Linked DNA regions of Mus musculus: regions 1 and 2 are each reported to be linked to region 3. The links are microRNA targets in miRTarBase. Many come from high-throughput screens and were not tested one by one. Region 3 holds a microRNA gene; each other region holds the end of a gene's coding sequence. Distances are between the middles of the regions.

Region 1 (5,112 bases), not on the chromosome of region 3:
CATTCAGGTCCACACACCTCTGCAGACCTCTCTCCCTATGCAGTTCTAGCCTTTCTCCCACATCCAGAAGGAGCGCAGACCGAGGCCCAAAAGAGGGTGCTTGGGAGACTCACCCCAACCCCTGCTAGACAGCTGATTGTTCCTGCCCCTTATTCTCTGTTGCCCGCCCCTCCTGACTTTCAGACAAAGGTGGGTGAAGTTCTTTTCAAGTTTCAAAGGCAGTTGCTAGGCAGCTCTGCTGAGACAATAACTCTTTTATTGGGAACAAATGTTGACATTTGACGGGCGCAGGAGGCAGCACCCAAGCCAGCAGCTTGGTGCACCCCCCCCCCCAACCGTGCTCTCGTCAATGCCCCGGCCCTCGGGCCCACCTGAGATTAAAGCGCGAATTCTGATAAATCGGCTCTAATGAAATCCGGTCTGTGGAGGGCCTTCTGCCCTTCTGGCTGCAGCGGCCAGACTACGCGAATGCGGGGCCCAATAGTCAGCAGCGCGCCCGGGCATGCAGGCAGTCTGTAATTCAGTGTGGCTGCCCTGCCAGAGCTCTGTGGGGCCCATTTCTCCACGGAAGTCACTTCCCTACATGGGGATTCTCCTTCTCTTCTCTTCTCTTCTCTTCTCTTCTCTTCTCTTCTCTTCTCTTCTCTTCTCTTCTCTTCTCTTCTCTTCTCTTCTCTTCTCTTCTCTTCTCTTCTCTTCTCTTCTCTCTCCCTCCCTCCCTCCCTCCCTCCCTCCCTTCCTCCCTCCCTCTCTCCCTCTCTTTAGTCCCCCTAAACACACCTGCAATTTTATGTTCCTCGAGCTTATTTAAAAATCAAGTTCTCCAGTAAGATATTCAGGTCGGGAGGGAGGTGGGTAAGCTATGGAAATCTCTGATAATTTGTTGGGCATATAAACATCAAAGCAGCTTCATTAGCTTTGGCTAATCTCCTGAGGCCTCTGGGATGTCACAGAGAGAAACAAAACACGCCAGCCTTCTGGAACCGGGTGAAGGTCTGGAGCCCTTTTGCTGCAAAAGGGACCCAGTAAGTCCAGGTAAGAAAAATTTCCTGAGATCCACTTTGGTCACACTGCCAGCTTTCTAATTCTGGGCACATGCAAGAAGGACATTTGGGCTTGGCAGTCACACTATAGCCAAACTTCTGCCTAAAATGATGCCTGTTCATTAGAGTTATCTTGGGCATTTTGTTTGTTAGATCTTGTTAATTTTCCTACCTCCCTCCTAAAATTTTCAAAAGACTCAAGTCACAACGTTACATGTGACAGAGATACTGCCACTCTGCCCTTTTAGTTCTCTGCTGATTTGTGAACATGGCCTACACCAATAGAGAAGGGCCAGGAGGGCCAGGCCATTTGTTACTGCTGTACTGCAGCATAAAGTGGATCTGGAAGGAGAGATGGTTATCTCTGCAAATCCTAAGAAACTGAAACAAACAACAAAAAGACAACGAGACTACCCTCTGACTCCCCAACCCAGGAATCTCCCAGACTAGCAAGGGTCTCTGTTGAATTAATTAATTTGCATATATATATATAATCTTCTCTTTTTACCTCAAGAGCTCAGCTCAAAACATCTCCATTCCCAACCCAGGGAGGCAGGGAGGGGAGGAGAGAAAAGTATCTCATACCAGATACCAGAAACTGACTTTAGGTCTGAACCCTGAGTGCCCATGCATTTCAAACCCATCCCTAAAGCCCAAGCGGCCTTCATTTCCCCCTCCATAGGCACCCGACTTAGTGCCTCCCCAGGCCAGCCTGCTGGGGCTTTGCTTCAAGTACCTCAGATGACTTTCCAATACCCTTTCTAACAAGACCCCAGCAAGAGGCCACTAATTTCTATGGCACAAAAAGCCACTGGAGAGAGATCCTTTTGTCAATAGCAACTGGCCTACAATTTCCCATCCTCAGCCACATCAGCCTATCGGAGCTGGCAGATGTTTAGACAAGATTTTATAAATCGTTCAATCTCAGCCCATAATGAACCCCAACTGACCATTCCAGAGCAGCCCAAAGCACCAGAGACCTCCCCCGCTGGGCTCCAATAACGCTCCCCTGCCGCACTGTTATTAATCATGGGATGAAATAGGTGAGCCTCTTGAAAAATAAGTGTATGATTGATTAAAGGGCAATCTAAGGAGCCATTATTCTTGCTTTATAAACGTAAGTTATATTCACTCAATTTATCTTTGCAGAGGAAATAAATGATTGTTCGTTTCTTCACCGAAATTTTATTATATGGGTATCTACATAATTTGAGAAAAGCTGAAGTGACAGAGTGGTTGCTTTTATGATACTAATCAAAGGGGCTGGGCTATTTGGCTGCAAATTCCAGGCTGGTCCTGTAATTAGGAGGTGAGTAGACAATAAAGAGACAATGTCTGAGGATGTTTAAACTTTTCTTTTCCCTGAGGGTAAGGGTAAGCAGAGTGCCACAGTAAAGAATCTAACTTCCCGCCCCCTCCTGTTAGTGGGAGCTGAACAGAAAGAAAAAGTAAAGGGTTCTTCAGTAAATGTGCTTGATCTATGTCAACTGAGATACTGCAGGCTGAGGAAAACAAGTGTCCCCATCAGTCATTCCCTGGGGGAGGACTCTCCAGTATCAGTGGGAGGACCCGATCCAGCACCACAAAAGAAGATGAAAAGCAGAGAGGTGGCATATCCTTTTATTTTGTTTTCTTCCATGTTTTAGAAATTTACACTAAGTAGGGATTTGCATATTCAGAGAACAAAAAAAAACCTGAATTACTTTCTGGAAACACATTTCTATGTGAATAAACTGGAACCGTAGGTATCTCCCTGTTGTACATTAATTTCTCTCAGGTCTGCAGTTTTTCAAATAAGCTCAAGAAGGACGTTTATTTCACTGGCTCTTCACTTAAAAGGTGAGGTAGGACCACCTTTGGGGCAGGAACCAGGGCTACCGCTGGAGCTTCTACCCAAATGGGTCTCCAGTAAAAATGAGCCCCAAACACCATTTTCTTGTAGGCGCGTCTGTTTTTATTTACAGTTTTAGATATAAATTAATAGGAGAACTGATGTTAAACAACCAACAGAGATTGTATAACCAGCAATGTTCAAATAAAAACCAGGCAGAATTTATTTACAAAAGTTTTAGATTTCATTGCAATACAACTTGCATAAATTACTAGAAGCTTTATATCATTATAAAAATAAATATCAAATTTGTTTCCACTTCTGAAGGACTCAAGTTCTTCAATCACGTTAGTTCTACCGTGTACATTTTTTTTTACAAATAAATTTTACAGCAAGTCCTATCACACCTATAGAATATATACCGTGGCAATGAAGTGATGAGGATATCCTGAGAAAAAACAGATTGTTTCCAAAAGTCACACAAACATAGGGAAGCTATACTATGACAACAAGTTCTCATATGCCCAAACAACGTGTGTCCAGTCCTTAGAGTCTGTGGGTTGGCAGTGCAGTGTGCATCCTCTTATACAGTGGCACAAAATGTGGTCCGGGTTTCCACATCTGGGGTTTGTATCTGTGTATTTATGAACTTGGGAAGGGAGAATAGCCTCCTGACTTTTTTTTCCAAAGCAATTGTGACACCTACCTGTGGACCAAGGAAAAGACCAAATTATCCCAAATTCTTCAGTTCCATGTCAACACATCACAACATTCAAGCTTGTGTCTACTGGCTCTGCCTCTTTGCCATCTTTAGTGGCTAGAACTAGTAATGTTGTCTAGTTTTAAATTTTTGTAACAGCTCTGGGCTAGAACTAGAGTCCACAGTGTCCATGTGGATACTGAACACCAAGTAGCAGGCCCATGAAAGACCAGGCCTGCTGGTGTCTTTTTAGTCTTATTCTGAAAGCAATATCCATTTCAGGCAAAATACCCACTTTTCTGCACAACTCACTCATCAGACAAGGTGTCCTTTATGTGTCTAAAAGAGTTTTGAAGCACACAGAGATGCCCAAATCTTTGAAACCACCATCATCAACCAACAACACAGTGGTTGTGTGTGTGTGTGTGTGTGTTCTGTTTAGAGAAGTGATTCTACAAAGCAGGACTTGAGCAGAAAAGAAAAAAAAACTATAACACAGAAGGCAAAGAGGCTAGAAGAAAGCCAATACTCTATTCTCCAGCAAAACCACACCACACTGCACAGGACAAGGACTTGGGGGCTAGAGGATGCAGAGGGAACCCACTTACTTGCACTGCTGACCTTGGCCCTCCTATAGGTAGGTCTGGACGCCTGCACCAACAACTGCACAGCCCTCACTGGTATCTGTCAGGGGAGGGGCAGTTAGTGAGGACAGGCTACAGCCCCTGGCAGCTAAGCACCTCCCAGCTCTTATCCCTGCAAGGGACACATACTCCCGGGGCATCTAAGATCCACGTTATTTATGCTCCCTCCTTCTCCTTCCTTTCTTCCTCTCCTCGAGCCCCAGTCTCGGGGATGCAGAGTTAGAAACAATGGAGGTAGTGTAAGAAAATTAGGCCTCCGAGAGTTCCCAGGAACCTGTGCTTTCCTTGAGCCAAAGGCAGACAGAATCCCACTAAGCTCCATTTTTAACCAACACCACAGAAGAAAGACTACACCCACCAGGGAGACAAGCACAGATCACACTTCCTGCCAGTAAGTTTGCCAAAACAAAATAGTTACTTGATAATATTAACAGTAAATTAAATAAAGAGTAAATAAAGCAGGATAGACCGAAAAAGGAGGGCTAGCCCTTTTTGCCTTCACTCTTCAACGGGTCTCCCCACACTGGCCTCCCAAATTCTGGGTCTGACAAGAGGCTAAGTTGGTCCAAAGGTCTCACATTCCCGGCGCCCTTTCCCAGGTTTCTGGCTAGTTCTGACTACCAGAATCCCTCCCCGCGGGCCTCAGGCAGCCTACCTTTCTTGGGCTCGTAGCCGCCGCCCGGAGGCCTGTAGTGGGACTCCAGTGAATGCGAGCCCGCCTTGCCCGTGTCGCTGGCCGCCTTGGGCATGGCGTGCAGTGTCTCGCCTGGTGAGGAGGCCGCGGTATTGTACCGCAGAAGGCCCTGGCCTTGCAGCGCTGCGTTTAAGTTCCCGTAGTTTGTGTAGTTGCCATAGAAAGGGGACGTGTAATAGAGGTGGCGGCCCAGCAGGGGC
Region 2 (5,112 bases), 91 Mb from region 3:
CTCCCATGTCTCTTAGTGTTCTCTTTTGTGCTTAGAGGTTTGAGAAATAGGCAGGGCTGGCTTGGGAGAAAGCTTCTGAGTCTTTCCCCCTCGTTTCTGTTCTCCCTTTACCATGCCTACTCCACCCCCTTTGCCCATTTCCTTTCCTCCTATCCCATCTTATCCTTTTCCTATCTTCCTTCATACTGACTCTTCAAACCTTTGGAAAACCTTCAGAGCAGAAGGTGTTACCTGAGAGAGAGAACTGAGTGCAGTCCTTTAGTCTTTGTTCACTCAATCCCCCTTTCAGATGTCCCACGCGGTATGTAGCACGGGTGTCCTATGCTACAGAGTGGTCTTGTTCAAAAACTTTTGTGCTGTCCCCACAGTGCTGTACCTAAACCCATAAATCAGAGTCCGCCTTCTAATTTGTAGGCTTATCTGGTAAGTGGTACCTGTCCTTCCTTATTGACCTGCCTTGTTCCTTGACTTCCCGTCCAGGTGGGTGTTTTACACTGTTTGGAAGAAAGCTAAGCCTTAAAGATGAGAATGACGTGTGCTGCGAGCCACCTTCCTGACCTCCATATGCCGTATATGCCATCAAATGTGTCAGGCAACTGCTCATGAATTCCTTCTAGTGGTTTTCACTTTTAATTATTATTTTTAATTTAAAAAAGCCAATGGGAAAAATGTATATTTTGATGAGTTAGGATGTTAATTTTAAAAAGTCAGCCGAAGGACAATTAGACAGCCCAGCAAAGACTGCAGAATGCACTGACCCCCTAGAATGTGATTTTAGTATTTTTTTTTCTCTGTGTGGGGTTTGGGTTTTCATTTTGGTTTCAGTAGACCTTTAATTTGGACATGTGGAGGAATGAACATCATTGTTTTGTTCTGGAGAGAAGTTCCTGATAGTGTTTCTCCCCTCTCACCCCCAAATTGACTTAGATATTAAAATTTGGTGCTTTTAAAGGTTTTAAAAGAGTGATTAGCAGTGCTTCAATTAAAATGACAAAGGAGACCTCTTACGGTGTTTGTCCCTTTATTTCAGCCTCTCTTCCTCTTTCTTACCTCTGATGGCCTAGGGCAAAGGTGTATTCTATCTAGACTGTTAACTGCACTCAGCATAATGTCAAGGCCTTGAGGAACGATCCACAACCTATTATATTTGCCGCCCCCCCATTATAAAGTTGTTCCAAGGATAGCAGAAGATTTTTGCCTGCCTGAAAAGGGTGAAAGTCAAAGATGATTTCTGTTACTGCTCTCCCTGATTAGAGATCCAAAGGCCTTTGAGAAGACTGTAGGATGTGCAAGTGCACACTAGAGTTCATGTAGTCCTGTGGCAAAATAACTTAACTCTTAAGAAAGTGCATGTGAATAGCAACTTGGCATTGTATTGTGGATAATTTGAATTGTCTATCCTATTGTTTGTGTAAAATATTTACACTGTATCAGTAGAATGGTATTTTTTTTTACAGCAAGTAAAACATTGAAAATTTACTAATGGAAATCAGGCTCAAGTTTCATTGTCCCTCCCAAGATAGGAAGGAACAAATAAGACAGGACAAGACAAATGATCTTTAAAAGTGAGCGCAAACCTATGCCATTTGTTTTAGATTGACATGGAAGAAGAAACAATAGAGAATAAAAGGAGTTGATAGTTATGTTCAAATTAGATGCATTTAACAATATTTTTGGTGCATGCATAGGGTAAAAACAGCCCAGTAGACACTTCTCCACCCAAATTCTTCCCCAGTGCTTTGAAAACTTTGTATATTGTGGAGAATTGAAAACAAATGTACTGCTACAGTTAGAATATTAGCTAAGGCCAATTGCCCCTTACCCACTGTACTGTTATTCTTACGATTACTTTTGAAACAGTGACTGTATGTATGTAGCCCAGTCTAACCTGGAGCTTATTATGTAGCCTAGGCTTTCCTGGAAGCTCACAAGAATTGAGCTTGTACCATCACACAGCTTAATTCTTGTTACCATTTAAGTAAAGAAAGCAAGTATATCAGCTGCTGGGGTAATATTAATGAGGGGACTGACCTGCGTGATCCGTGAAGAGTAACTTGAGGCCATAACCACAGATCCACTCATAATTCGGGTGACTCAGTTCCTGCTAAGCACCAGGTGGTAGAAATGAAGAGGATAAGGTTATGTGAGGCTAATTGGTTATGAGATGCATTTGGGATAAAATGAAGGAAGTGGTGTTGAGGAAAGGAGGAAGAAAGAGGTTTTTATCTTGAGTGATAAATGTGAACTCAGATGTGACTGATTTGCTGAAGGAGGGTCTCCGTTTTGAGCCCTTGTTATTTTGACACCGAAGCATGCAAACTGAACCAACACCCACCCTACCCTGTGCTCTACTCCGACCCACCTTCGCTTTGGCTGCCTCTTAAGGAATGCTAATGGATTTGTTGTTTTTCTTAATACTGTAGTGTTATGTAGTGTGAAAGATTCTTTTAACAGTGGAATATATTATGGTGTCCTGCTTTTTTTTTAATGAAAGACAAAACAAATATGGATAGAGTTTAAATTCTGTTCAACACAGCAGATACTAAGAATTGATTTATTAAGACATGAAATGCTGCTTTCTCTTGGAAATGTGATTGAATATTTATAAAAGAGCTCCACCTGGGCCGGGGAAGGCTGGGTTGGTGGTGGTTTTAGTGGGCTAGAACATTACTATCTGAATAAACAAATGTGCTGCTTCTTCCTGTAGACTTGGAATAGTCATGTCCTTGCTTTCCCTAACAATTGCTGACACAAGACTTTGTATTTCTGCCTGTCATCTGTCTCTCAATAAATGGATCAATTTCATCCCGTCTCCATTATGCCTGGGAAAGGGAAGGAAAATATGTGTTATGTTCTGGCTTGGCCTCTTTCTGAGCTGCTCACACTGGTGGTTCATCTGATAGTTCTGTTTTCTTTCTCCTTCCTTTTTTCTTTTTGGTTTGTTTTCAGACAGGGCTCTCTGTGTAGCCCCAGCTGTCCTGGAACTCTGTAAACCAGGCTGGCCTCGAACTCACAGGAATCCACCTGCCTCTGCCTCCTGAGTACTAGGATGACAGGCGTGTACCACCACCACCCTGGCAACAGCTCCCCTTTCAAAGCACTTTATTGCCACTGAGGGGTTCTCTCTGGTAAGACTTGCTCAGAAAAGACAACAGTACTTGTTTTCATTGTGGAACTAGCTACTTAACATTCCTCTGACAGCATATTTTTTTTGGGGGGGTGCATACTATTCTAGAGGCCAATTGGTCAGCAGTGTTATCTTGTTATTACACAGCAGCTGCTATGTGACCATAAAAGAAACACCTGACCTGATCACCTGGTTGCCTACTGTCTTTTCTTAAAGTCTTGCTTTTTAAAAGAAAATATGTATGTATGTCTGCATATATGTGTATATCACAGGTGCCAGAAGAGGATGGCAGATCCCCTGGGACTGGAGTTATATGCAGCCATGTGCTGCTTTGTGGGTGCTAGGAACCAAACCCATTCTCTTAGAGTTTTACTTCTGTGAAGAGACACCATGATCAAGGCAACTCTTATAAGGATGGTATTTAAATGGGGCTGGTTTACAGGTTCAGAGGCTCGGTCCATTATCATTGAGGAGGGAGCATGGCAGCATCCAGGCAGGCGTGGGGGATGGAGGAGCTGAGAGTTCTAGGTCTTATTCTGAAGGCAGCTAGGAGGAACATTTTCAAGCCCACACCCACAGTGGCACACCTATTTTTTTTTAATATTTTTTATTAGGTATTTTCCTCATTTACATTTCCACTGCTATCCCAAAAGTCCCCCATACCCTCCTCCCCACTCCCCTACCCACCCACTCCCCCTTTTTGGCCCTGGCGTTCCCCTGTACTGGGGCATATAAAGTTTGCAAGTCCAATGGGCCTCTCTTTGCAGTGATGGCCGGCTAGTCTATCTTCTGATACACATGCAGCTAGAGACACGAGCTCTGGGGTACTGGTTAGTTCATATTGTTGTTCCACCTATAGGGTTGCAGATCCCTTTAGCTCCTTGGATACTTTCTCTAGCTCCTCCATTGGGGGCCCTGTGTTCATCCAATAGCTGACTGGGCACACCTATTCTTAACAAGGCTGTACCTCCTAATAGTGCCTGCGCCAAGCACATACAGACTCACACCCAGAGTCTCTACAAGAGCAGCAAATGCCCTTAACTGATCAGCCATCATCACTTCAGCTCCCTGCCCAGTATCTTTCTACCAAATAATTACTAACATTTAATAATTTTAGCTAGTAAACCATATTCATTTCTGTTGTTTTGCTAAGTCTCAAAACTATGTTTTAAATGAGATGTTGATATCATTGAGTAGGTTAGCTAGCAAAGGGTAAATATGCCTGAGGGTTCCATAGCCAGATTCTTTTTTTTTTTTTTTTTTGATCTTATATATCCCAGAGCAGCCTTAAATTTACTATATAGCTGGAGGATGACCTCAAACTCGATTCTACATCGTGGGGGCTAGGATTATGGATATGTATCTCCGACTTGTTTTTAGGACTGCAATTTAAATTTAGGTTTCAGTAGGTAGAAGATTCCTCAGGGTGTCTGCCCTCCCTCCCCCCAAAACCCCGGGACTGGTACTGGTGATTGAACCTAGGTCCTCATGTATGATAGTACTCTTATCACTGAGCTATATCCTTAATTTTCTTTTTATTTTGATTCAGGGTGTCACTAAGTTTGTCCAGGCTAAACTTTAAATTCTGATAGCCCAAGGAGGCCCTGAACTTGTGATTCTTCAGCTCCAACTTCCTGAGTATTTATACCACTATTGGCTTTCTTGAGAGTTTTTTTTTTTAATGCTTACTGTTCTAATTTTTTAATGTGTATGGGTGTTTTCCATGCATATATGTTTAAACTTGTGCGGCTGATATCCTTGAAGGTTAGAAGGGGGTGTTGGGGTCTTTAAAACCGGAGGTACTAGATAGTTGTGAACTGGCATAGGTTCTAGGAATTGAACTCCAGTCCTGGAAGAGCAGCTAGTACTCTTAACCACCGAGCAATCTGAGCCCCCATTAGGGTTTCTTAACACTTCTTGTACCTTGGATTGCTTTGAGAACTGTTGACTGAAAAGCGATTTCCTTCTTGGAAATGTTTTTAAAA
Region 3 (5,112 bases):
GAAAGAGTCACATGCAGATGTTTACACCCAACCAATGGGCAGAAGCTACTGACTCCTGTGGCTGAATTAGGGAAAGAAGCTGAGGAGGAGGGTGACCCTATTGGAAGACCAGCAGTCTCAACTAACCTGGAACCCTGGGATCTCTCAGACGCTGAGCCACCAACCAGGCCAATACACCAGCTGATATGAGGCCCCTAACACATGTACAGCTGAGGACTGCCAGGTCTGGACTCAGAAAAGATGCACCTAACCATAGAGAGACTTGGGGCACCAGGGAGAAGGGAGGTCTGGTGAGGTGACTGGTTGGGGACATCCTCTTAGAGAAAGGCAAGGGAGGTGTGGGATGTGGAACAGTTGGAGGGTGGGGCAGGAGGGGAAAAATAAAAAGACATTATTTCACCTAAATCTGGGTGATTATTTATAGGCACTTGAGAGAAATACTGTGAACTTTCCTCCACCCAGTGTGGTGCCATGAAATTTCATGTGAGTAATCCCAGTCTAGATAATGCACTGCACATGAAAAGACTTTAATATGAATTCCATACAAATAAAGTTTTCATCATTCACTTCAATTTCCATCAGGTTACCAAACAAACACGATACCCACACACTGGCATAATTTATTACTGTATCCTAGAGATATATGGGGCTTAATTTGTCTTACAGTAGATCCTCTGTGTCTTTATTTTCTAAGAATAGCTAACGTTGAAAATAACCTATTTGTTATTACTTTCATTTTTGTACTTGTTTGAATTTTAATGTTCTTTCTTTTTTACTAACCTTTAGTAACTACTGTTAAAGGAAAATTCCACCCTGAATTTCTTGACAATGGTTGAGGTAAAGATGAATGACAACAAACAATGAACTCATGGAAATACAGAATCAACTATACTATGCCCTATTGTATGAGCAAGTAACTATCCACCATGAAAACATGGATGGCAAAAACAAAACAAAACAAAACAAAACACACAAAAAAAAAAACTGCTTGGTACTTTTCTGAGGAGGACAGTGCACATGGCATTGTGTTATTTGCACTGACTCCATCATATTCTTCAGCCTTAATCTAGTCAGTATAGCATGACATATAAGCATTGTAACACTTATTTCACATATTCTGGGCATCAATAGTCATAAAGACTTTCACCTTGCATCTGTTACTATATATCTTTTAATTACAACACATTTACCTGATATTGTTTTCACTACAAGGAAAAATATAATCTCCTTTATGTCGATCTGTAAAGGCTCATGAGGAAATAAATCCTATTTAAAAAGTCTGGGTTTTGCAAGTATCATCAGAAAACCTAAGGTTAAGGAAAATGCTTCAAGACCACTTACACTATCCCTTCCAGAACCCTGATCTTATGAGAATCATACAAGCTTGACTCTACCCAGAGAGTACCTGGCTACATTCATTTAATCCTACCAGCACCAATTTGCGACTGTCCAGGGCATATTTAATGAGTAGGTCATTTCCTAGACTTCTCCATGACACCCAGTAATAATGCACATTGGATTCTTCTTGTAATCTATTGAAAGCATCAGGAGAATTGCCCACTTATTAGTTACCTTATCTTTAAATTATATTAGATTATATCAATTGCCATTTCCTTAGATGAATGACAGTAAAAAGATATGAACTTTTATTTGCTATTTCTTCTTTATATACAAACTATTTTAATATTCTTTATCATTTTGCTTGAAAATGTACAAACATTATTATAGGCATATAATTGAAAATATACTGAGGATGAATAATTTAGTCGGGCCTGACTAACTCATTTTATATAGCCTATGAATTACTATTATGAGGCTAAGAATGGATAATTAAAACATTTTGAAAATAAGCAAATGATCTACAGGGTCTAAAGCTAATTATAAATATCCAGGAAGACACAACATGGGTGATTTCATCTACACCTACATTATCATCCAAAAGCCATTAAAAAGAGGTAAAGATAAGCCTTCCTCTACCCAGAGAGCTACTGTATACTTGCAGTTCATTTGAATAGCCCCACTGTGGGAAAAGAAATACACAAAAGACAATGTGGATCTGGTACACCAGGAATTTCTACCTTTCTGTTCATCTTTCATCACAGCACTAAAAAAACATAAACCTATACCAACTTATGACTTATTCATAATTTCAGAGATAACAAGATATTCTCTCTCACCATTGACTTCTATTTAACGGATCCCTTAAGTTCCATTCTATGTGAATGACTGTGTCAACTTGGAATGAAGATGTGCGGTTTTCTTTATTACCATTTTAATTATACTTCCTCATTTTCGAATCTACTCTTTTTAATTTTTTAATCTAACTTACTGGTAATAACATTAAAAATTATTCATTGATGTACCAAATTCACTCTGAAAATTCCTAATAGGCAGGTAGTGAACAAGAAAAACTTGTATCAACATATTTTCTAATGGACCAAAACATGTATCACAATCATGACTGATCTGCTGTGATAAAAATTAGACTTCCTCATACTTACTGTGTTTAGAGAAGAATCACACACCTCCACCACCACACTTCATTCAAGGAAACAAATATATATTCCTTTACATTATATTTTTCTCTCTGGATGCTCTGGACTCTTGTTTGTTTGTCTAATTGTCAAAATTAAGTATATAAAATTGTATTCATTTCATGTTTTTACCTGTAGTATAAAGGTACTTAGTATCCTCCAATTTTATCTTCTATGAACTGTAAGTGCTCCTGAGTTGTGATTTCTAGAAAAGAAAATATTTTCTATAATTATAGATGCTACAGGAATCAAATGACAAGCTGAAATTATGGAAGGCATGTAACATTCTTCGAAGTATATACTACCATGAACATCCAGGGTCAAATCACTTGAAGAATATAGTGAGCATTACATTATCCAGAATGGTGCCAGTCATATGTATTTCACATGACTGGCACTAATCTGAATAGAGCACTGCACACAACTCACACAACATAGATTTGTCAATGCCCCAGCCTTAATCTTACTAGAGCTATTTATGAGCCACAGACAACAAACCCAGTTTCACCTGGAATTTTCAGAAAAAAAGATTCTCATGGATCCTATCTTCCTGTCAAGAGTTGAGTCATGAAAATAAGCCTTTTTTAGTTTTCCACTAATTGTATTAGAATGTCTTTAACAAATTATCAGAACTTTTAACCAAATTACTTCCTCTGAAAAAAACTTTAAATATAATACTCAATAGTCCAAATAAGTAAATGAGGTGATTTGTGATATTTCCTGTGAGCAGAAAAGCCATCATAAGTATATTTTATCTCTCTGTCTGCCTATTTTTTCCTTTTTCTATTGATTTAATATAGCACATTATTTTAGGACAGTATTATCTCATTGTAGTACTTTATATGCCCCAATACAGGGGAATGCCAGGGCCAAGAACCAGGAGTGGATGGGTAGGGGAGCAGGGAGGAGGGAGGGTATAGGGAACTTTCGGGATAGCATTTGAAATGTATATAAAGAAAATATCTAATAAAAAATAAAACAAACAAACAAAAAACAAAAAAAAACCCCAAATGTCTATTTTTATTTATTCACTTTCCATTCCTAACACTGCCACCCCAATCCTTCCTCCCTTTCTTCCCTGATGGCGGGGGGGGGGGGTAGGTGGTTGGGTAAAATCCCACCCTAGTATACCAAGTTTCTGCCAGGCTAGACACACTCTCTTTGATGAAGGACAGAAGGCAACCGATTAGGGGAATGGATTTCGTAGACAGGCAACAGCATTAGCAATAGTTCCAGCTGTTAGGACCCACATGAAGATCAAGCTGCCCATCTGCTTCATATGTACGGAGAGGCCTAGGTTCAGCCTGTGTATGCTCCTTGGTTGGTAGCTCAGTCTCTAAGTGCCCCAAGGGTCCAGGTTAGTGAATTCTCTTGGTCTTCCTGTGGAGTTCCTATCCTCCTTCAGGTCCCAAGATCTTTACTTCTGTTCTTCCATTAAGAGCCCACAAGTTCCATCTACTGTTTGGCTGTGACTGTCTGAGTCAACTGCTGGGTAGAGCCTCTCAGAAGACAGCCATGCTAGACTTCTGTCTGCAAGATAACAGAGTATCATGAAGAGTGTCAGGGATTGGTACTTAACCATGGGATAGGTCTCTAGTTGGCCAGTTATTGGTTGGCCATTTCCTTAGGCTCTGCTCCATCCCTGTCCCTGCATTTCTTGCAGACAGGATAACATTTGAAATGAAAGTTTTGTGTGTAGATTGGTGTCCCTGCCTGGCTACAGCAGATGGCCTCTTCAGGTTCCATCTTCAGGTTCCATATTCCCAATGCTGTGAGTCACAGCTAAGATCACCCCCACTGACTCTTAGGAACCTGCCCTATCCTAGTTCTCTGGTGCATTTTTTTTAGTATTTTATTGAATATATTTGCATTAATATGACAAGATAAATCGGCCTGAAATTCTTTTTCTTAGTTAGCAGTATTCCTTCTGCTTCTATTTTGTGCAATAGTCTGAGCAGTACTGGCATTAGCTCTTTCTTTAAAAGCCTGGTAGAATTCTGCACTAAAACCACCTGGGCTTTTTTCTTTTGATAACTGTTTCCCTTTCCTTAAGTGTTATAGGGATGTTTCAATAGTTTACTTGATCTTGATTGAACTTTGGAAATAGGTATCTTTCTAAAATGTCTTACAATCTGTTAAAGATTTTCCAAATTTATGTAGAACAGGCTTTTAAAGTAAGAGCTAATGATTCTTTGAATTTATTCAATTTTATTTGTTAATGTCTCCCTTTTTAATTCTGATTTTGTTTATTTGGATACTGAAAGTAGGGAAACCTCACAATGGGCCGAACAGGGCCATAGCTACTTTCCATTTTTTATGGAGGTCCCTTCATATGCTAATAGCCTGGCACCTCCCAACAGTGGGATAGTTGGCTACTCCAGAGCTTGTATCAATACCCCATTGGTCCAAAAGCTGTATAAAAACACTTGCAAATGCACAATACATTAGATCTGTACTCAGTGATGATCTCTAGAGTTGATTTCCCCAACTCCACTTGCCAAAACTGCTCCTGAATTCTGGTTCATCCCACAAAATAGGTTAGAACAGATAATACACTAAATGTACAAAATAAAGAAAA

What was found. The annotated mature microRNA mmu-miR-871-5p reads UAUUCAGAUUAGUGCCAGUCAUG and lies in region 3 at 2,921-2,943, opposite strand. An mRNA with a match to its seed (bases 2 to 7 or 8) in the 3' UTR can be bound and repressed. Matches are read on the target gene's strand: a 7mer-m8 pairs with bases 2 to 8, a 7mer-A1 pairs with bases 2 to 7 and ends in A, and an 8mer does both.
Region 1: the mRNA of Irx2 is a reported target of mmu-miR-871-5p. Seed matches in the 3' UTR shown: 8mer at 2,716-2,723.
Region 2: miRTarBase lists Sms as a target of mmu-miR-871-5p. Seed matches in the 3' UTR shown: 8mer at 2,674-2,681.

The regions. Positions count from the first base shown.
Region 1 is chr13:72,631,732-72,636,843 of GRCm38, reverse strand. It overlaps Irx2 (Iroquois homeobox 2), which reads right to left. Exons shown (of 5, transcript NM_010574.4): 3 at 4,874-5,112; 4 at 4,183-4,258; 5 at 2,648-3,580. The coding sequence ends at 4,206. Among named protein-coding and RNA genes, the nearest start is that of Irx2, 5.5 kb to the right of the region's middle.
Region 2 is chrX:157,441,545-157,446,656 of GRCm38, reverse strand. Sms (spermine synthase) reads left to right here. Exons shown (of 11, transcript NM_009214.4): 11 at 481-2,806. The coding sequence ends at 520. Among named protein-coding and RNA genes, the nearest start is that of Gm24281, 13 kb to the right of the region's middle.
Region 3 is chrX:66,807,552-66,812,663 of GRCm38, forward strand. It overlaps Mir871 (microRNA 871), which reads right to left and starts at 2,953; the gene lies at 2,877-2,953.